Linked DNA regions of Struthio camelus. The protein of the gene in region 3 interacts with the protein of the main gene of each other region in a pairwise test. Links are inferred from orthologs where the notes say so. Each region holds a gene or a part of one and is shown on either strand. Other genes may lie near its edges.

Region 1 (6,908 bases), on a different chromosome or scaffold from region 3:
CTGCAATGTTACTAGTTTAGAGCTGTTGGTTCTTCTACATGTATTTAATGATAATAACAGATGTCTACTAATGAATAAAATCCTTGTTTCCTAGCAATGCAAGAGTGAAAACACAATTTCCACAATATTACATGCAAATACAGATAAAGTTATCTAAATCAACAGTATGCCTCAGAATATTACTCTGTCAATAACAAGAAAAACCATCCACAACAATTCATAACCTGTTCACTCTTACTTGTTAAAGGCAACGAATCTAATAAACATTTACACAACTTTTGACAAAGCTGGTGATATCTAATATTGGTCATTAAAAAAAAACTTGCTCAAGCTTACCTCTTTTATTTTATAAATAGCCCACTGTTTGAATATATTTTTCCTTTCTCCTTAATACACGTGATCTAGCTCTTTATTCTAAGAAATGTAAACAAGTAGTAAAGTCAAACAACAGAAACATCATTAAAAAGAAGCTCCAGCCTGTACAGTATTACATTTAAAATATACGACCACGAGCATCCAGAAGCACTTCTGCAGCCACTCTCAAGAAGACAAAAGAAAAGAAAAGAAAAGAAGAGAAAGAAAAATAAATCAATACTTACCTGAAGTGTGCCTCCCATGATTCTGTGACATCCTCTGGAAAAGATCACTGTTTTGTTCATAATACCTGTAGTCCTCATGTACGCGATCATTTAACTGACGCCTCCTTTGGGCATCATAAAAATGATCATAATAATAACAACGGGCACCAGCATCTCCATTTTCCATAGCAGAATTAGCTTCTGTTAAAAAGGATTGGGAGGAAGAGCCATATTCTCTAGGGACATCAGCTAAACTTCTTGCAAGATAGGAAGGTGCCGACAGTCTGTTGCTTTCACGTCTCATTATTTCATGAGGTGGCCTCTGAACTGGAGTTCTAAGGAAACTCTGGTTTCTGGAAACAATTCCATCTCCTCCAGAAGCATATACAGAAGAACTTGAGTCAGGAGGACAGATATCAGTTCGTCTTGGAATGGTTGGACCATGACGGATAAATGAAGGCATCAGATCTGTTTCAGGATAAAACCGAAATAAGAATTTCAGCTCCACTTGCACAAAATATCTGGTTAGCTGCAACACTGATTTACGCTATGATATTCAGGAAATTCAAAAGCCAGAACCCCTTTACAGCGCCTCTAATGCAGAGGCGAGTACAGTTGTAACGCTGCAGTTTGTATTGGTACAACAAAACCCATCACGCTCTCCTCTAGCAACGGAAACAATCCCCCAAAGAGCACAGTTTTGCCAGTACAACTGCATCTGCAAAAAATAAACTAGTCACACACTTTTGCCTGTGGCTACATCAGCCAGGCTTCACACCTCTTTATCTACTAGAAACATCAAGAAAATCTAACTCTCCTGGCTACCAGTCTACCACCTTATTGGGACCGCTGTCTTTATGAACGTTGAGTAACTGAATACATCAATGCTTACATGCTTATAGGACTCCATGACAGAGCCAGGAACAAAATTTGTATATTTTCCACATATAACAAAGCTTAATCAGCAAAACGTTGTCATTTTGCACGTGTAAGTTCTCAAATTAACACGAAGATACCTCATTTTTCTCCTTTATTTAAAGGGACACAAACACTGATAACTATTCAAGCAATTTCACTGCTTCCCTCCAGTATATGATATACTCCTTGTTATTACTTTCAGCACGGCGTGAATAAGTAGTTTTCCTGCAGGTGAGCTAACACAAACTACAAGCTTCGTTTATGAGCAAGCCATGCCTATCATTTACTATTTATAAGCAAACTCTTATAAACGTATAACTTAAAGCAAAATTTCAGTGCATCGCGCAAGGTGTAATCAGTAATTTTGTAACAGTCGTTACAACGCAGTCATGTAATAGCTGGTCATTAATTCACAGCAAATAGCATAAGCGCGTAGAAGGGGTTGACCCATTAGAAACACCAAAAACCTAAAACAAAAAAGAAAGAAAGAAAGAAAGAAAAAAAGAAAAGTAGTTCTTTTTTTAAAGCCTAAGCCTGTGAGGCTGCTAAACGATTTTGCCTGTTGGTTGGGGAGCGGGTTGTTTGTGCAGCAAGGACTTCCAGAGAAGCCGAGCGCCTGCCTGCTCCTGCCTGCCGCTCAGCTGTTAGTCGCGGCCTCAAAGCTAACCTAATCCTACCATTACAGCACGATGCGCTTCAGTCTCAGTTTGTTTTCAATACTTTCTACGCGCTTCCGCTATTCTCCTGTAAAACCCTAGCAAGAAGGAAGCCGCAGCATTAACGCCAGGTTAACGGGATGAAGACTAGCGCGGCCGAGGTATGTAGGAGTGACCTCACCACGTCGGTTCACCGTTAAAACCGGAGCACTCGCTTCCGCAGGGATTTTACGCGACTGGCGTGGACAGTTACCTCATGTTCAAGGCGCACACCTTTTGGCAGCCGACACAGCCTGGCCTGGGAAAAACACTGACTTTTGGAAAGAGCTGAACTGCCCCGTTCACCTCAGGGAGATCTGTCTGCGGATGATCTTAGCCCTGGCCTCTTGAGACTGAAAAAAGTTGGGACTGAAAAGCTTAAAGAAAAAGTTTGTTTACTGTGTGGGTACGCCTCTCTCTCAGGTTTAACCTCGGTCAGGTCTCGCTACCAACGGGGCGATTTTTTTCCCCGTTTATGAGGAAAACGCCTCAAAACAGCCCCTAGGATCCGCCGGGCCGCAGGCAGGCTGCGGTGGCGAGCAAAGGGCCGCCCCCACCCCCGCCGCCGCCCCCGACACTCACTGCGAAGCAGCGGGCTCGTCTCCTTCTTCACGTACTTGCCCTGCACCTCGCCCGGCTTGGAGAGCTCCGTGCGCGTCTTCTTCCGCGACAGCATCCCACCTCCCGGCCCGCCACCGCCACCGGGGCCGCGCCCGCATGCCCGGCGCCGCCCGCCGCTCCTCAGGGCTCGGCGGCCCCCCTCAGGCGCGGCGGCCGTTGCTCGGTGCCCGCATGGCCGCGCGCCGCCGCCGCCGTCAAAGGGGAGGGGAGGGGGAGGGGCGCTCAGCGCCGCGGGGCGGCGGCGGCTCGCGCCGCCCGTTGGGCCGTGGCGGTGGGGGGGGGGGAAGGGGGCGGGGTGCGGCTGGGGTTGGGGGGGGGGGAGTCCGCGAGGAGCCGCGCGCGCACGCGCGTCGCTAACGTGCCCCGCTCGGCGGCGCCGCGCGCGCGCGCGCGCGGGCTTGTGGGAAAGCGGCCTCCGCCCTCCCGGCGCGGTGCGGGGGGGAAGCTGGTGCTGTCACCGCGCCCCCGCGCGGCGGGGAAGGGGCGCATGCGCAGCGCTGGCGGCGGAGGCGGGAAGGGCGCGCGCCGCCGCCTCCACCCCCCCCCCCAACCACCTCAGAGCCGCTCCCTCAGGGGCGGCTGCCGCCAGAGAGCCGCCCTCTGCTTGCCACAGGTATCACCTCCCTGCCCCTCGCATCAGTTACCAAACAAACATTAATTTTAGTTAAATGAAGGGAAAACTGAGTGCCTCCTGTGTTACACCCATAAAGGCAAAGAACGGGTATGCGACTGCTGTTGTTCTTAAAAAGCTGGTGCGATAGTGAACCTACCTCTTACACCGCCCACTTTTTATTTTATACTTTAAGGCAGCGAGGAACTACCGTCCTTTCTGTTACTACACTTTACTCATGTACATACTTAAGAATTTTCAGATAGCATGTGAAATACCTACAATTTCCATGGGTAGATAAATTGGATTAAACCAAAAAAACAAGCAGTGAGCATACAGAAATTTATTCTTTTTACATTCATAAATAATGTACAAGTTGTTTTACCTTTGCTTTACATGATGTTATAAGGACAGTATATTACACTGAAACAAAACAAACCTGATAAGGAAAAAAATATACAATTGTTTTTTCTTTATACACAAGTCATTTGTCAGCAATGACAGTGAGAACAGGAGACTGTAACAGGTAAAACCTGGGAGACAACACAGCACAGTTATAACAGTGATGTCATTTGTTGAAAGCAAAATAAAGGCTTTTAGTGTTCTTTGATAGAGCCAAACCATCCCCTTCTGCAGCTCACATGTAATCTGTAAATGGCTAAAATCAAATACGTTACAATCCCTTTTTCAAACAGAATTCAAATAATTTAGTTTTCTTTGAATTTAAATGAATATTTGTGAATGTGTGGCAATGTATGCTTTTATACCATTCTAAATTGACAAGTAGTACTTCAGCTGTGTAGATTTAATTCACAAAAATTTGACTCAGTCATATACTTCCTCTTCCCTCTCTCAGAAATCTCAGCCACAAACATCTATGTGCCTCTATTTTCACAGTGATTCATAAAGCAAGAGTTAAAAACATTTAAAACACCTTTTGGTAACACAGTAGTTAATATCTTAATTGTCAAGATCTGTTGCGTGAACAACGCTTAGGAATTCAATAATTTTTGACTGCATGTTATGATACTGTTAAATACTTTAGTATCTTTAAAATCCCTACACTGCATAGGAGACACTCGTGCATGGAAGATCACAAATGCTTAAGAGTTTACATGTTTATATGCTTATTTTCACTAGCTTAGACTTTGTAACACTTGCTGCTTAACTTCTGAGCTGACGTACTCAACCAATATACAACACAACACTTGTTTGTAAGCAGCGCTACCTTTGTCTGAATTCACTCCATTTGGGAAAGGATTGTCCTGAATTGTTCTGTAGCAACAGAAAGTACAGTACAGAAAGAGTCTAGAATATGTAATTATAGAAGGCACTTTTGAGAATTGACACAAATATTCTACTGAAATTGGAGTCTGTCTAAATAAAATATTTACCAAACATTCTCTTCCTCCTCCATCCTCCTCCTCCTGTTCTCTTCCGTGGTTAGTTTAGTTTTTTAAAGCTAAGTGAAAGAAAAGTAGGGCAAAAGAGCATGGGTTGAGAAAGGGAGAAGTCGAATTCCCTTTTCTCAGTTTCTCCTTACTGTTCCAGTATTATCATTGTATCTGGGCTCCCTTTTTGGCACTGTGTTTTCGAAACGTCTGTATGTTTGGTTAAAAACACCATAAGTACCAGGAGATTAAAAATTAGGTGAGTGAGTAGTCTAGCCTTTAAAATGAGTTATTTCAAAATAATTCCACAGGAGTTTAAATACATACTCATTCCCTCTGTTCAGTTTTCACACTTTGGTCACATACTGAGCCCTAGAAGTAAACCTAGGTCAAGATGTGAAATAGCTTTAAACAGTACTATCTAATAATGTTTTTCCAAGTATAATTCTGATCATCTGAACATCAGCTGCAGTGCTGCCTGGAAATATTCTTAAGCATCGCTAATTTTCTTAGCCTAGGCATGGTTTTAATATTGCTAACATACAGGCTGGGTACCTACACAGTGTTTTTTTTTCTTTTTAGTAAGTGATACTGTTTATTGATTACTATGAGAAACAAAATGTTCCTGCTTCAAAATTGAAAAAGAAGCTCCAATTTATCTCAATACAATTTTGAATTTTTAAAAGCTTTTGCGGACTGAAAAATGGGGTATGTAAATCTCAGAATTTGAGATTACTCAGAAAAACGGTCAGTACAGGTATTTAGAATAAGACAGTTATGAAATAATGTATAAAGATTATGTTACTCCAAGGTATTTTTCCATTATTGTTTTGATAAATCTTTCATTTTTTGAAAAAGATATACTCCTGTATACTCACTGTGACCTTTCAACAACAACAAATTGCACAGATTCTTCATAATTATTTTTACATGTGTCTTTATGCTCCATTCTTGCATGCAGGTGTAAGAAAAAAACCTGATATATCTTACATTCTTTTTTTAATAGGCCTTATATTGCTTGCATAAAGGAAGGGAAGAGGAAGGGGGAAGGAGAAGAGGAGGTCATACTCCATATGTATATTTCAGTCCCTTAACCCTCCAATTAGCAGGTAACTGTTTAGACATAGATAGCATCCCCTAGAGCCACACACTAATCAGTACCAAATGACCAATTTTCTGCAGGTGACTCAACAGCTCATAGGCAGTCTTATCCCAGTTTCTAGGGGGCAGCTGGCTCATTACAAATGCTGTCATAATTGTCACCTTGCACTAGTGGTTTCAGAGACAAAGCATTTTACCCTCTTCCTCTGCATACACTATTTATGCAGAATATATTTAAAGAGGACCAGTTTCAAGTAAGGCCAATATGGCTCCTTTCACCAGTTTTATTTACACTGTTTAAAAATCTCTTACTGCCCTGACAGGGGCAAGGAGCCCGTATAGGGAACGACAGCATCTTTATTTAGACTGCAGCAATGGGTTATACAAGCGTACAAGCTCTCATTCAGCTGTTTATGTCAGACCTATCTCAAATCTTGAAGCTGTTCCCAGAAAATTTGTATTCCCTAGCCTCATAAATTGGTCTGATAGGAGATACTACTTGTCGTTACAAAACCTTGCTGCTCCTTGACCATCATGACTACACCATTAGTGCGTGTTTGTCTAGGAGTATCATCAGGTAATATTCAACCAAATACAATTTGGTTTATCCTGCTTTTCCTAACGCATGTTTATTTTCATCTACTGACATTAATATCCATGTTTGTAATAGTGCAGGAAACTAGTTGAGGCTGTTATTCCCTGAGTTTTTCATATTCACCTTGAATGTGTTTCCTCACAATTAATTACAAACTTAGATTCTGTATTAGCATCTATTGGAAACAACAGGCCTTATTCAAATGATCACTCAAGTCAAACAGAACACTGCATGAACGGCAGAGGTCCCGCTCTGGCAGCCCTAATGACAGGATTCCACTGAAGAAATCATTTAGGTCTCCCTCTTCATTCTTCTGTGAGTTGTTTATTAAACATACTCCACTGCTTTAATGAGTTTACAAGTTGTATAAACACAACTCATGTCTTCACTTCTGTTTGG
Region 2 (6,920 bases), on a different chromosome or scaffold from region 3:
GCCCCGCTCCGCTCCCTGCCCCGCTCCCGGCCCGGATCAGCCCCGCTCCCTGTCCCGGCTCGGCTCGGCTCAGTCCCAGTCCCGGCTCGGCTCGGCTCGGCTCGGCTCGGCTCAGCCCCGCTCCCTGTCCCGGCTCGGCTCGGCTCAGCCCCGCTCCCTGTCCCGGCTCGGCTCGGCTCAGTCCCAGTCCCGGCTCGGCTCGGCTCAGCCCCGCTCCCTGTCCCGGCTCGGCTCGGCTCGGCTCAGCCCCGCTCCCTGTCCCGGCTCGGCTCGGCTCAGCCCCGCTCCCTGTCCCGGCTCGGCTCAACTCAGTCCCAGTCCCGGCTCGGCTCGGCTCAGTCCCAGTGCCGGTCCCGGTCCCTGTCCCGGCTCGGCCCGCCCCGCCCCGCCCCGTCCCGTCCCGCCGCCGTCGGGCTGACGCGGGCCCAACGCGTCACCCAGCGCTGATTTCAGCCCCGCCCGGCCCCCGCCCGGCCCCGCCCCGACCCCGCTCCCGCCCGGCCCGGCATGGCTCGACCCGGCATGGCCCGGCATGGCTCGACCCGGCATGGTTCGGCCCGGCACGGCCCGGCACGGCCCGGCATGGCCCGGCATGGTTCGGCCCGGCATGGCATGGCCCGGCATGGCACAGCCCAGCATGGTTCGACCCGACATGGTTCGGCCCGGCACAGCCCGGCATGGCCCGGCCCGGCATGGCCCAGCATGGCACGGCCCGGCATGGCCTGGCATGGTTCAGCCCAGCATGGCCCGGCATGGCTTGGCCTGGCATGGCCCAGCATGGCACAGCCCGGCACGGCCCAGCATGGCTCGGCCCGGCATGGCCTGGCATGGCTCAGCCCGGCATGGCACAGCCTGGCATGGCACAGCCCGGCACGGCCCAGCATGGCTCGGCCCGGCATGGCCTGGCATGGCACAGCCCGGCACAGCCCAGCATGGCTCGGCCCGGCATGGCCTGGCATGGCTCAGCCCGGCATGGCACAGCATGGCTCGGCCCGGCATGGCCTGGCATGGCTCAGCCCGGCATGGCATGGCCCAGCATGGCCCAGCATGGCTCGGCACGGCCCGGCCCGGCACAGCCTGGCGTGGCATAGCACAGCCTGGCCCAGCCCGGCATGGCATAGTACCACATGGCCTGGCATGGCCCAGCATGGCCTGGCCTGGCATAGCACAGCACGGCATGGCCCGGCATGGCATAGCATGGCCCAGCATGCTATAGTGCATAGTGCAGCACAGCCCAGCACGGCATAGCACAGCCTGGCACAGCGTAGCACAGCCCAGCCCAGTATGGCACAGCATGGCAAAGCCCAGCCCGGCCCGGCATGGCCCGGCACAGCCCAGCACGGCATACCACGGCACGGCTCGGTATGGCATAGCATGGCAAAGTCCAGCCCAGCCTGGCATAGCCAAACACAGCCCAACATGGCATAGCACAGCCCGGCCCGGCATGGCCCGACCCGGCACTGCCCAGCCTGGCACAGCCTGGCATGGCCTGGCACAGCCTGGCATGGCCCAGCATGGCACAACCCGGCACGGCCCGGCATGGCACTGTCCGGCATGGCACAGCCTGGCATGGCCCAGCATGACACAGCCCGGCATGACACAACCCGGCACGGCCCGGCATGGCACAGCCTGGCATGGCCCAGCATGACACAGCCCAGCATGACACAGCCTGGCACGGCACTGTCCAGCATGGCACAGCCCGGCATGGCACAGCACAGCCCGGCATGGCCCAGCCTGGCACAGCCCGGCATAGCACAGCACAGCCTGGCATGGCCCAGCCTGGCACAGCCCGGCACGGCCCGGCATGGCACAGCCTGGCATGGCACAGCACAGCCCGGCATGGCCCAGCCTGGCACAGCCCGGCATGGCACTGTCCAGCACGGCACAGCCCGGCATGGCCCAGCCTGGCATAGCACAGCACAGCATGGCATGGCATAGCATGGCCCAGCATGGCTTGGCATGGCATAGTGCAGCACAGCCCGGCACGCCATAGCACGGCACAGCCCGGCATGGCCTGGCACGGCCTGGCACAGCCCGGCACGGCATAGCACGGCACAGCCCGGCATGGCCTGGCACGGCCTGGCACAGCCCGGCACGGCATAGCGCGGCACGGCCCATCATGGCATAGCGTGGCAAAGCCCAGCCCAGCACAACACAGCACGGCCCGGCCCGGCATGGCCCAGCACGGCCAAACGGAGTCCAGCACGGCATAGCGTGGCACGGCCCGGCATAGCACGGCACACCCAGCGGGGCCCGGCCCGGCCCGGCATGGGCAGCCCCTCGGGGTGCCCACACCCCTGCCCGCTCCGCCGCCCCCAGCCCCGACCCGCCAGCCCAGCCGCCCCGGGGCCAGACCCCTACCACGTTGGTGTCCTTCTCCACCGCCTGCTCGGGGGCATCGTCGGCTTCGCTCCCGGGGCCCCGGGGGCCGCTGCAGTCCAGCCGCACCAGGGCCCGGCACCGGTAGTGGCAGGTGAAGCTGCAGTCTGGGGACGGGGACAGGAGCGCGGGGGGGGGGGTCAGCGGGGGGGGACCCCACGGCGGCCGCCAGCACCGGGGAGGCCGGGGTCGCTGCCTGGGCTCGGGCGGGAGCTGCCGGCAGATCGCTTTCGGGCGCTGGGACAGCGCCGGCCGCCCCGGAGCCTGGCAGCGCTGCGCTCCGGGCCCCCCCCGCGGCGGCGGGGCCGAGCCCGGCGCCGCCTCCCCACCCGGCTCTGCCCCGAGCCGCGACCCCGCGGCCGTGCCCGGTGCCGCTACTCACGGAGGCACTGGAGGCTCTTCCTGCGCACGCCCCAGATGAAGTCCCCGCACAGGTCGCACCAGGTGTGCAGCCCCCGGCGGCGCGGCTGGAAGCGGTGCCCGGCGCCCGGCGCCGCCGTCAGCCGCGGGTCCCGGTGCGCGCCGGCGGGGCCGGCCCGGCGGGCCGGGCTGATGCGCAGCGCGTTGGCCCGTTCCAGGCGGCCCCGGCCCGGCCGCGGTTCCGCCTCCAGCTCCCGCAGCTCGATGAGCTCCGCGCCGCCCGGCCCGGCCATGGCCCGCCGGCCCCGGGCGCTGCGCGGCGGCGGGGCGGGGGCGGCGGCCGCCGCAGCCGGGACCGGAGCCGGGGCGGGGACCGGCCCGGGGGCCGCCCCGTCCGGCCAACGAGCCGGGAAACTGAGGCAGCGCCGCGGCCGCGGCCGCCTCTGGCGTGGGTACCCGCAGCCGGCGGCCCGGCCCCCACCGCGGCCTCCTGGCGGGGGGCGCCGGCTGAGCCTGCTGGCAGCCCTCCCGCCGGAGGCGGCCGGCCCCAGCCCCGGAGCTCGCTCCGTCGGCGGGGTGAGCTCCGAGACGGCGGCCGGGGGCGCACGCAGGGTCCGAGCCAGAAAGAGCCGGCGAGGGGGTCACGGCGGTGGTGGTGGGGGGCGCGTGGCTGGCGGAGCTGTTCCCCGGGAGGGGAGGCCGCTGAGGGGGTGGCACGGGCCCACCAGGTCCCGCGGTGGCCCCGCTGCCACCTCGCTGTTCCTGAGCCTGCAAGCTGGGTTTCCCTGGCCCGGGGCAGCTCCCGGAGAGCCGTCACCCAGGGCTTTTCCTCGGGGCCGAGGCAGCCTCGCTCTGTGCCTCAGTTTCCCAGCGGCGAAGCGGGTCGGCAGCGGCACTTTGCAAACCGCCTTCTTGCATCGGGTGAGACTCAGCCAAGCGCTGGAGCCCGGGAGCTCGGGGCTGCGTCCTCGCTTAGGCTTGGCGCGCCGGACGCGCGGCCGTCTCGCGCCGAGACCTGGGGTTGCGCTGCCTGTCTTTCCCGGGTGCTCTTGAGCCGCTCCGGTGCCTGGGGACTGGTGTCGGGAGGGGAGGGGACTTGCCCCGGCCTCAGGGCGCAACCGAGGCAGAGCGTGCCCGCGGCAGCGAGCCCCGCGGAGAGCTGCTGGTGGCTCCCGCCACGGCGTTCAGCTCCTCCCGTGCGTTCAGTAACAGCAGCGACGGCGCTGGGATCCCTGACGGGGCACGCGTTGCCAGCCCCCCTCGCGGGGGGGGGCACGCGGCCGAGAGCCAGGCACGCCTGGCAGACGTGACTTCTGCCAACGCGGCCCGGCGTGCCGGGGCACAGGGCGCGCGTTGGCTCGCCGGGGCAGGACGGCTCGCAGATGACAACAACCCAAGAAGCTCATCTGCTTTATCGTCGCGAGGTCTTCGTGCTAACCACTTCCTCCGCCTCCCTTCCCCCATGCTGCTCTGTGAGGGTGGCTGACCAAAAAGAGGTGGTGAGGGGCCGCCTCCCACCCCGGCCCCGCTGCGGGCTCAGCGCAGGGACAAGCACGGACCCCGGCCGGAGAGGACTCGGCCGTTTCCGTGACCACACTGGTTCTCTGGGATTTCTTTGGTGGCGCGGCATAAAAACTGACGCCCAAAGCACCCCAGGAGCGCACGGCCGGGGAGGAAGTGGTTTATCATCTTCGGCGCGAGATGCGGGAGGGAGCTGAGAACCCGCGGGGCGCACAGAAACTCCTGCCGCTGGCGGGAGAAGGCAGCGCGGCGGGGACAGGAGAGGCCGAGCTCGGTGAGGGGCCTGGCGGCAGGAGCGCTTCGAGCATGGCTGGCGGGCAGGCAGGTCGGCCTCGCGCAGGGCGACCGAGGCAGCAGCAAGCTGGCTGTTTCTTTCACCAGGTAACGCTCCGAGGTCGAGAGCTGTCTTCCAGAAGCAAGCGCGCTAAGTAGTTCCTGTTCCGAGCAGGGAGGGGGGTTCAGCTGGACGAACCGGGGCTGCAGCACCCTGCGCTGGCGGTGACCGACGTGGGCAGGACCGCGGCCAGCCTGTGCCTCGCTAGAGCAGGGGCAAGGCCAGGAGGGTGGCTGCAAGAACCGCCCTGCGTCACCCTTCCGGCCGCTCCGCCAGCTCCCAGCGCCGTGACCGCAGGCACTATCGCGCCTCCCAACACCCCCTCGCCACTGCCCCAAAAGCCCGGCGCACCCCAGGGCCGAGGGGAGCGCCTGCCCCCGCTCTAACTAGGGACCTTTGCTTGCTTCTCCTCAGTTAGTTGAGCTGCTCGCAGGGGAAACCTCTACCTCTCCAAGCCCCAGGTCGGGCTCCAATCGCAGCTACGCTGTCAGGTCGTCCGCTTGCTTTGGCGCCTCAGCCATCAGGTTGCAGGCTGCCTTGTGCTTCTGCCAGTGCTGGACCTGGCACTCCCTGCAGAGGGGAACACCGCTGCTCAGGGGGTTCTGCCTCCAACCGGGGCGCCCACAACTCGAATAGGAGCACAGGGCCTAGTCCGGCCTAGCGAGCTAACCGGTGACAAGGAACAAAGCCTGCCACGAGCACCCCTCTGCCCACCGGGTAGCTGGGAGGAAGCAAATTCCTGCACAGCTCCCAAGGGAGGCAAGGCTTCGGGCAGCAGATGGGAGCCCGACCACCATCGATGGCTTCCCTTGGCCCTTTCGCAGCCTCCGCCGCTCTGGTCTGCGGGGAGGCACTGGGGACAGCAGGACCCCTTACCGCGTGCAATACCACTCGTTCCGGCAGCGAGAGCACCGCTTAGCCGCCTCTGAGCCGCACACCCTGCATCTGGGCTTGTCGGGGACGAGAGCCTCCATCAGGTCCAGGCTGTACGTCTGCGCCCACCTGCATCGGGTAGAGAGGGGGTGAGGCTGCCCACGGGGACTGCCATCAAACGTCGAGCTGTCCTCGGCTGCAGCCTGCCACCGAGGAGACAGACTGACCCTGCTCCGCTCACAGCTCTCTCCCTGGCTACTACCACAGACCCCTTTGTCCCCCCAGTGCTGAGCGCCAGCTTCTCTAACCGGGATGCTGGCTACTGCTGCGTGCAGGTGGCAGGAGAACGGGCTGAGACGGGCCAGGGCCTTACCTGCGTGCCTGGAGCTTCAGCTCCTCCTCGGTAGGGCTGAACATGCGCTTCACCTGGTGCTTGGCGATGGCCTCCCACTTCCCTGCGTTCTTCTTGAGAATGTGGTCCCAGATGACAGGAACCTGTTGGGAGAGCCGGAGCAGCGAGCAAGGGGTGGTCACAGTCAGATCTAGCACGCTGCGATCCTGGGGCAATCTGAGCACAGGGGAGCAGCTTCCCCAAGGCACAAGGAGCACGTACCCCCGGGAACGCAGACGGAGGCACCCAGCTTTTGAAAAGACTCTGCGCCCAGGTCTCCGAGAGCACCTGAGGCACCTGGCTAACGCGGATGCTCAGCAGATGTTGTGCCCCCCTGTGCTGCTGTGCCTCTCCTACATCTGCAGCGCTCTCTCGGAGTCCCCAGCCCAGGAAAAGGGAGGCAGAAGCCTTCGGGCAGACTCATTTGCCCAATAGGGGCACTAAGCAGTCAGAGATGAAACGAGCCAAAGCCTTCAGGATCTGGCTGGGAGCAAGAGTTCAGCCACGAGGCCTGGGCTCCCAAACAGAAAGCCCTCTGATCTCACTGCTCCGCTGAGCTGGGGCTCAGGCAGCAACTTGAACCCAGCGCTCCAGAGCCTTTTGTCTGAGCACATTTTTCCACTCATCACTTCCCTGAACACAAACACCAGGAGAAGGGCTAGTCAGTGTGAAAGAGAAAGCACCAGCCAAGAGTGGCGTGTGGAGTTCAGGCTCTGGAGGGGAAGATGCTGCTTCAAACAGTGCTGGCATCTCTAGTAGAGTAAAAATAGCCAGGCCTAGAAGGGGAGGAGGGCTGCTCTGTAAGAAGACGCATGGAAAAAGGCTTTTTCTTGGCCTGGCTCAGTGACAGCGAGTGAGTTCACTGCTTGCCGGGCAGAGCATGGAGCCCGTGTGTGCGCTTCCAGCTGGCTCCCCCTGCCTTGCCTGCGGGGCTGAGCCCTAGTCCTCCTCGGAGGCACGAGCAACGCCAGCACAAAAGGAGAGAGATGGAAGAAGGGCAGCAGCCTGGTCAAGGGCTGGACGAGGTCCCTAGCGTGACAGCTGCCTGCCCTGTCCCACTGA
Region 3 (7,266 bases):
AAAGCTAACAGCTGTTTTTTTTTTTTTAATTAGGGTTAAAAGCAGCATCTACTGCAGCAAGATATATGGTAGCTCTTAACCACCCCCCGGCACAGCACAAAGCTGGAACCAAACGTTCTTTATCCTAGAAATGATGTACTACAGGAATTTTGAAGCAAATGTTGAGCTCAAGAAGCAGTTAAAAAGGGAAAAAGGAAAGTCTTTCAGTCTGCAAAAAAATAGTTTAAGAATATTTTAGAGTGACTGAGAGCCTGCACTTTAAGGATGCAATTTTCTAGCTGTACCAGCCCAGAATATGCTCTGCTTACTGCAATTGCTTTAAGTATGCCAGAAGAAGTACTTTGACTGTTTGAGCACAGCACTGCACGCCTTGTGGTTTTTGGGGCACAGACACTATTCAAAATAACAAAGTCCAGGCAGATATGCATTAAAGGGGGGGGGGGGAGGGAAAACTCAGCAGCCCTAAGCTAAGCGTCTCCCAGCATTTTTTATGGCATCTGATCAAAGAGGAATGTTGATAAAAGCTAAAGGGAAGACTGCACTTGGAGGAACATGTGTTTTTCTTATTCATTTGTCTGGGAGCAGACATCAGACAGCTTTGTCAGGAGTACCACAATGGCTTTTATAAAGGGCCAAGAAGTACTTAGGCAAAGAACTGTCCAAGTAATACCTGTTGGTGTAAGTTGCACATTCCTTTTTGAGCTTTAAACTCTCACTGTACTTCTCAATTGCTTTTTTATGGTTTCCTTTCTTCACAAGTTCATTTCCTTCTTCCTTCAGAGTTCGAGCTCTCTCAGTGCCAGCAGCAGTCTGGTCTGGAAACAACGTGAAAGAACACAACACACTATAAAACTGGTAAGAGCTGAGCAGCCTCTCAGAAAGCAAATATCGCTATACCAGAATTGAGGCACAGAGAGACCAAAGGATCCAGAATCAACCAAAAAGGCTGTGGCAGAACCAGGAAACAAGTCCAGGTTTCTCCAGGCCTCAACCACAGCTGTAGACATGCCAAGCAGGTATGGCAGCTACCTTGTTCTTCATCACCTCTCTCTGTGCTCCAGGGCTGTGTGCACAGCCCAAGTAACACGCTCTCACCTGGTTTTCCCAGAGGTGCAGTTTCACAAGGAGTGGTCGGGCCTCCTGCAGAAGGAACATTCCATCTCGTCTGGGCAGAAATGGGGACTGCGGGGATCGGAGGGAGCTTCTCACGCCAATTCACACCATCCTTCTCCAGCAGGACTTTGGTCATTCTGGAAGAGACAGCTAGGCAATTACTGTGTCTGTTGGCAGAATGGGCCATGCAGTGGCCAGTGGGGAAGCCCAGCTTTTTAACCTGCCTCATGTATTGAGGACTGCATCTCTCCACTAACCCCTTTGCATACATCTAAACTAATCTTTTGTCAATGAGATATTAATACAAGGAGCTTCTCTGCCTCAGTGAGGCCAAAAATATCCTAGGATAAGGGCTGGGACGGTCAGAGCTCAGTTGAGCAGAAGAGAGACTTTTGTGTCATTTCTCAGACAAACAGCAGAGCGAAGCAGACAGCTCCAGGAAAAGAAAATGACAGCCCATCAGCCCTGCCTGCATAGGGAGGCCTGATGAATAGGATACTGGTGCTTATAGTTCAGTTTAAATAGGCATTGGTAAAAGCCAAAACAGTTAGAGGGAATTCATTCCCAGCCCTAAACAATGGCCCAGGAGCTTGAAAGGAACTAAGTACAATAAGGACATTAGCACCTATCACCACAAGCAGGAAGTACGACCAAGCCTGAACTTTGCACAAAGCATCAAAGGCTTCAGTTATTTTATTAGGGTGCTCAGGACCCTGCTTGCTGCTGACATAGCTGCTTCCGTGAGTCTCCCTGTTTTGCAGTGAACTAAACTGCTATATTCTCAAGGCCTTCTTCCAGAGCGTACAGTATAGTATTTGGCATTACCTGTTGACACCATCGTGTGCAGACTGTATGGAGCAGTCGATCTGTAGCACAGTCTTGTAGTCAACATAGGCCAGCTGATACCTCTCCAGAGCCTCGTAAGCTGCTGCCCGCCTGAGGAGGGGTTTGATTCCAAAAGGGACCAGTTCAAGGGCACTGTGCCAGAGGGGAGAAAGCAAAACAGGCCTATGAGCCACCCAAAAAACTGCATTCAGAGAGGCAGCTTTGGAAAGTCAGGTATCCTCACACGGGAACTACAGACCTTGTCTTATGAACCACATTTTCACAGGCCCAGTCTTGCAAGTACAGAACAGTGAGGTGTCAGAATCTTTGTTTTCATTTCAAATGATACTGGACTGCAGGAACTGATCCTGAAGCAGTGAACTTTTTCTGTCCTGTCTCATTTCCAACATTAATATAATTACTGGTGACAGAGGAAAAAAAAAACGAATTCCCTCCTCCTGTAGAGCAATCATAAATGAAGGTCTGCTTTGGGGGCTATTCTTAAAAACTTAACCTGCATATCACAGATGAGTGGTGTTTATCCTGCTCCACACCAGCTAATAGCTGCTCTTCTGTAGGACCAGGTTGTTCATGCTGTTACGAGCTGCTTATTACAGACAGACATGCATATCCATTCTGAGGAATAAAGACTTACACGTCCCCAGTGAAGTCACTGGTAGGGCTGCACAAGAATCTCCCTCAAATTAACTCCAGAGAGCTGTTAAGATTTTAAGTCAGCAATCTCATCTTCATCACTAGCAAATACTGGCATTTATCCTCAAGGGTAGCCATATCCAGTTCCTGCTTTCAGCACAAGACTATAAATTATGAGCAGCATAAGCTGTTCCAAGTTCTGCTGTCCTTCTCATAACCTATCTCAGGCCTGGTATTCTCTGAAGAGCAAGTCATACAGTTAATTATACAGTGCCATTTTCTAATGCGAGTTCCTTGTTATAGATCTGTTTTGGAAAGAGTCATTGGAAACAACAGGCAACCTGAGCCACCTGGTGCTACTCCCATGAAACTCCAAGCCAGGTCTGGCACTTGGCTGCACTCACCAAGTCACTCCAGATTTACAGCAGAGGTGCTGCAGACACAATCAGCCCCTGCTCACTTGTGCTACCAGGACGAAAACAGAGAGACCAATGAATACTAAAGCTACCTATGAGAAGAGGGTCCGTTGACGCCTCTCAATGGGGAACATATCTTTTCCTATCCTTTCTTGCTCAAGGGCTAGCAAGTCCCGAGGACTGCTCCGATCAACAGCAGAAAGCCAGGACACGGCCACATGGCCACTGCTACTTGCGGAGGGTGAGCGAGGGGAGGACAGATGGGGCAGCCCCGCCACCTGCTCCGCTCCCCCTAGCCCCTGGCCCTGGCCTTACTTGGGGTAGGGGTAAGGGAGGAGAACGCAGTCAGGCCCTGGGCAGCAGGGCCCCCCTAACCCCTCCAGCTTCCCTCTCTGCCCCATTGCAGCCCCCAAGGCCTCACCGCCCCCCAGGGCCTCCTCAACCCCCCCCCCAGCCTCCCCTCAGTACCCCCTGAAGGCCTCCCCGATCCCCCCTGCCTCACTGCCCTCCCCTCAGCACCCCCCAGGGCCTCTTCAACCCCCTCCTCAGCCTGCCCTCAGCACCCCCCCAGGGCCTCCCTGAACCCCCAGCCTGCCCTCAGCGCCCCCCCCCAGGGCCCCCCCGACCCACCCCCTCAGCCTGCCCTCAGCACCCCCCAGGGCCTCTTCAACCCCCCCCCCAGCCTGCCCTCAGCACCCCCACCAGGGCCTCCCCGCCCCCCCCAGCCTCCGCTCCTGCCCCCGTGAAGGCCTCCCGACCCCCCGCCTCACTGCCCTCCCCTCAGCGCCCCCACCAGGGCCTCCCCGACCCCCGCCGCCGCCGCCTACCGGGAGCAGTCGCTCACGCAGAGCCCGCAGGCGCCGTCCTTGAGGTGGCAGGCGGCGCGGTTGGCGAGCAGCACGCTCCTCTCCGCGGCGGCGGCGGCGGAGGCGGCCTCCCCTGCGGGCGGCACACAAGCGGGAGGGGGCTGCGGCGCGGCGGCCCCCTGCCCGCCATCCCCACCCCGGGACGCGCGGTACCTGCGGCCTCCAGCAGCGCCAGGGCCCGGCTGTAGAGGGCGGCGGCCGGCCCGTACTGCCCGCGGCGGAACTCCTCGTTGCCGGCGCGGCGCAGCTTGCTCACGCCGCCCGCCGCTTCCATGGCGCCGCCCGCCCCCGCCGCTCCGCGCAGGCGCCGCCCGCCTCGGGGGCGGGGCCTCCGCACAGCCCCGCCCCGCGCAGCCGGCGGGCCGGGGCGGGGCCGGGCGGGGCCGGAGCGCCGGGCGCGCCCCTCCGGCTTCCGGCGGAAGCGGCGCGGCCGGTCTGTCATGGAGCGCTGAGCGCCCGCGCCGCCGGCCCGCCGCGCTATGGAGACGGTGCAGCTGCGCAACCCGCGCCGGTGAGCGCGCCGCGGTGGCCGGGCGGGGTTCGCCCCGCCTCTGCGTGGCGCTGGGCGGGCGGCGGCCCTGTGGCGCCGTGGCGGGGGGGGAGCGGCGGGAGCCCGGCGGGCCCTTCCCGTGACGGGAGGCGGCCGGGCTGGCTGCCGCAGCTCCCCTTCCTCTCGCCTTTCCTCCCGCGGGGGTTGGCGCCCGTCGGCGGCCGCGGCGGAGCGTGGGGCCGTCAGGCGCGGCGAGCGGCGGAAGCTGCCGGCTCTGCCCTTCGCCGCCGCGGGCAGCCGCCGTTTCGCCGTCGAGCAGCGACGGGGCCGCGCGGGCCGGGTCGGACGCGCGGCCCCGTTGCGTTAGGCCTGGGCCAACGCTGGAGTGCTTCGCGGCGCTTCGGGCGCGCGTGGCTCGGTGCTGTCGCCGTGCCCGTGGCGTCACCCGACGCGGGTAACGGCGGAGAGCGCCCGATAACGCGGGGCGAGCCCCGAGCGGGCCCGCGCCAGGCAGGCTCGAGGCGCGTTGGTGCCGAGTGGCAGTAAGATGTTACGTCGGCTCTTCGGGCCCGGTGAGCGGGTTTGGACCTGTGAAAACTCTAGCCGGCGTTACACGATCGGCGTTTCGCCTTCTTACTTTTTCTTTTTTGGTGGCCCAGGCCTCGTTTTAACCTCGGCACAAAGCATCTGCCAACTGCAGCACCGTTTCTTGGTCTCTTTGGAAATGGCGGCTACTGTGGTTGCTTCTTTATTATTTATATATCTTTATTATATATGCTTTTTCCCTTTTCTCCTCTTCCCACCCCTTCCTCCCCCCCTGTTTTCTTAAGGACAAGTAGCATTTTGGTGGTTAATGCTTATCTGTGCAGAGAAGCTGGTGACTACTTTCAATATTTCGCCACTTCCTGAGTCTGCTTCTTTATAATGTTTCCTTCACTTCAGGAAGCCATTGTATGTACTCCGTGCGCGTACTGCTCCTCCTATATGGCTTTTGTGCATAAACATAATAGCCAGGGATCAGTGAGTGGTTTCTCAATTTACTTTTGAAGATATGGGGAAAAAATTGCATACTTAGTGTCAGAACTGCGATGCCTCTGTTTGAGGCCGTGATGTTTAACAGTAGCAGTAGAAACTTTCATTAGTTCTGTGTCGTGGCAGGCAACCATGAATTAACGTTGCTTGAATGTAAGACTAAGAACATCTGGGAAATGGTTCTTAGTTTGTCTTCTGCAAACTTGTGTGAGCTGGTTTGAGGTTTTCTTTTTTGGGCTTTTTTTCCTTTGGTCTTTCATATAAAAGTGCTATAGCACTTGTTTGTGGACTGTTGGATAGTTAGTAAAATGGTTTGTTTTGGGAACTTTTTGTCTCCCCCTGCCCCCTTCTCCCCCTCCCCCTTTTTTTTTTTATATGGTCCTTAGCTGTTGTATGAGGTTTCTTGATCAGCAGCTCAAAGTATGGTCAAGGTGAACTGAAAAGAAAGGAATGGGTTTGCTTGTTGCTTTGTATATGGAATTTTTCTGAAAGGTGTGTGGGATGTGTTAAGTGAAGGATCACAGGGCATGTTTGTACAACTGCATGTTTTTTTTCCTGGGAAGTATTTCAGCTGACTCTTCTTAGCAATAAATCTAAAAAGAGGGATGGAATGAGCAATGTAAAGATTCTAAAAGAGTCAGAACCCAGTTCCCCCCTCCTGCATATTCTTTTCCTCGTATATGCCCAGGCCCACAAAGCCAAGATCTGGATTTCTGATGTTAAGAGTGTACAAGTAAGATTAGTATTGTCTCTTTCCTCTCAACAAAAGTGTCCCTTACATACAAGGGAGGGATCTCCCTACAAGGTGTCAGAGAAGATCACGTGTCCCCTTTGCATGGCCTTGGTACATATACTGCTATACGAGATTTTGAGCTTTAGCGGGTATGTTCAATAACTAAGAAACATTGCAGTGCTACTGTAGATTTGACCACCAACATATAGGTCCTGAGATATATTCTGATATCTTAAAGAACTGACTCTTTGTTTCCGCCAAGATCTGTGTGCCTGATTAAACTTTGTTGTCTGTAATTTCCAGTCCTCTTTTTCTATTAGGTAATAATATTGTTTGGTCGTCTGATCAGGTGAAATAAACTTGCTTCATGTTAAGCCTTGCGTACACTTAAGTGGAATTATTTATTCTCTTGTTTCAGCGGAGTCTACATTGTCATAAAATTAAATGTAATGATTTCTGTCTTCTTACGTATGCAGGCAGCTGAAGAAGTTAGATGAAGACAGTTTGACCAAACAACCTGAAGAAGTATTTGATGTATTGGAGAAGCTTGGAGAAGGGTGTGTGTTCTCTTACAGCTTGCTCAATGGGTGTTTTTCTGAGAACAAATACATATAATGGCTGTTTTCGATGTTCTCTGATTTTTTTCACTTTTGTCATGATCTTATTACCGCGAAGGTATGCGTTAGCATGGCAACTTTACTTGGTAGGTAATAGAGTAAAGTATTTGTTTTCCAGGAGTGAGATGTCTTAATCCGGACAGTGGCTTATGATTCAGCAGTAGAGACCCCAAAGCGTTATTGAAATTTGGCAAACTATAGTTGATAGGGCTGTATGGGAACTCCAGAGGTCTTGTAGAAGACTGCTAACTCTTGTAGAAGATCCACACAGTAGAATTGAACTTGCCTTTCCTTGTGCCACTTGCTAATGCAGAGCAGCTTGGGAACACTCAGGGAATGACAGGTTTGACTTCTTACGTGGCTTATTTGTAGAACTGAGTAAGAAATCTTGCTAGCTGATGTAAATAAAGAGAGTGAAAATAATATAGATCATAGCTGACAAGAACAAGTCAAACTCTTTGAGCAGAGCAGTAGTTCTTGCTGTTGCTCAGCTAGTACCATGTTTTGGAAAAAGGAAAAT

Evidence for each region.
Region 1: the proteins of STK4 (region 3) and SAV1 interact in binary tests that used the Homo sapiens proteins (3 or more experiments, as listed by UniProt). The link is inferred for Struthio camelus from reciprocal best matches to the Homo sapiens genes STK4 and SAV1.
Region 2: the proteins of STK4 (region 3) and RASSF1 interact in binary tests that used the Homo sapiens proteins (3 or more experiments, as listed by UniProt). The link is inferred for Struthio camelus from reciprocal best matches to the Homo sapiens genes STK4 and RASSF1.

Annotation. Positions count from the first base shown.
Region 1 is NC_090946.1:80,909,293-80,916,200, reverse strand, and holds the start of SAV1 (protein salvador homolog 1), read right to left. Parts: upstream 3,074-6,908; 5' UTR 2,868-3,073; coding exon 2,774-2,867; intron 1,047-2,773; coding exon 600-1,046; intron 1-599. UniProt on the Homo sapiens protein: Regulator of STK3/MST2 and STK4/MST1 in the Hippo signaling pathway which plays a pivotal role in organ size control and tumor suppression by restricting proliferation and promoting apoptosis.
Region 2 is NC_090955.1:23,904,147-23,911,066, forward strand, and holds the start of RASSF1 (ras association domain-containing protein 1), read right to left. Parts: upstream 3,033-6,920; coding exon 2,762-3,032; intron 2,487-2,761; coding exon 2,362-2,486; intron 1-2,361. Other genes in the region: ZMYND10 (zinc finger MYND domain-containing protein 10), read right to left, coding at 5,074-5,164, 5,471-5,596, 5,841-5,962. UniProt on the Homo sapiens protein: Potential tumor suppressor. Required for death receptor-dependent apoptosis. Mediates activation of STK3/MST2 and STK4/MST1 during Fas-induced apoptosis by preventing their dephosphorylation.
Region 3 is NC_090959.1:7,812,995-7,820,260, reverse strand, and holds the start of STK4 (serine/threonine-protein kinase 4), read left to right. Parts: upstream 1-4,253; 5' UTR 4,254-4,353; coding exon 4,354-4,385; intron 4,386-6,605; coding exon 6,606-6,686; intron 6,687-7,266. Other genes in the region: TOMM34 (mitochondrial import receptor subunit TOM34), read right to left, coding at 671-815, 1,096-1,250, 1,939-2,091, 3,836-3,947, 4,028-4,148. UniProt on the Homo sapiens protein: Stress-activated, pro-apoptotic kinase which, following caspase-cleavage, enters the nucleus and induces chromatin condensation followed by internucleosomal DNA fragmentation.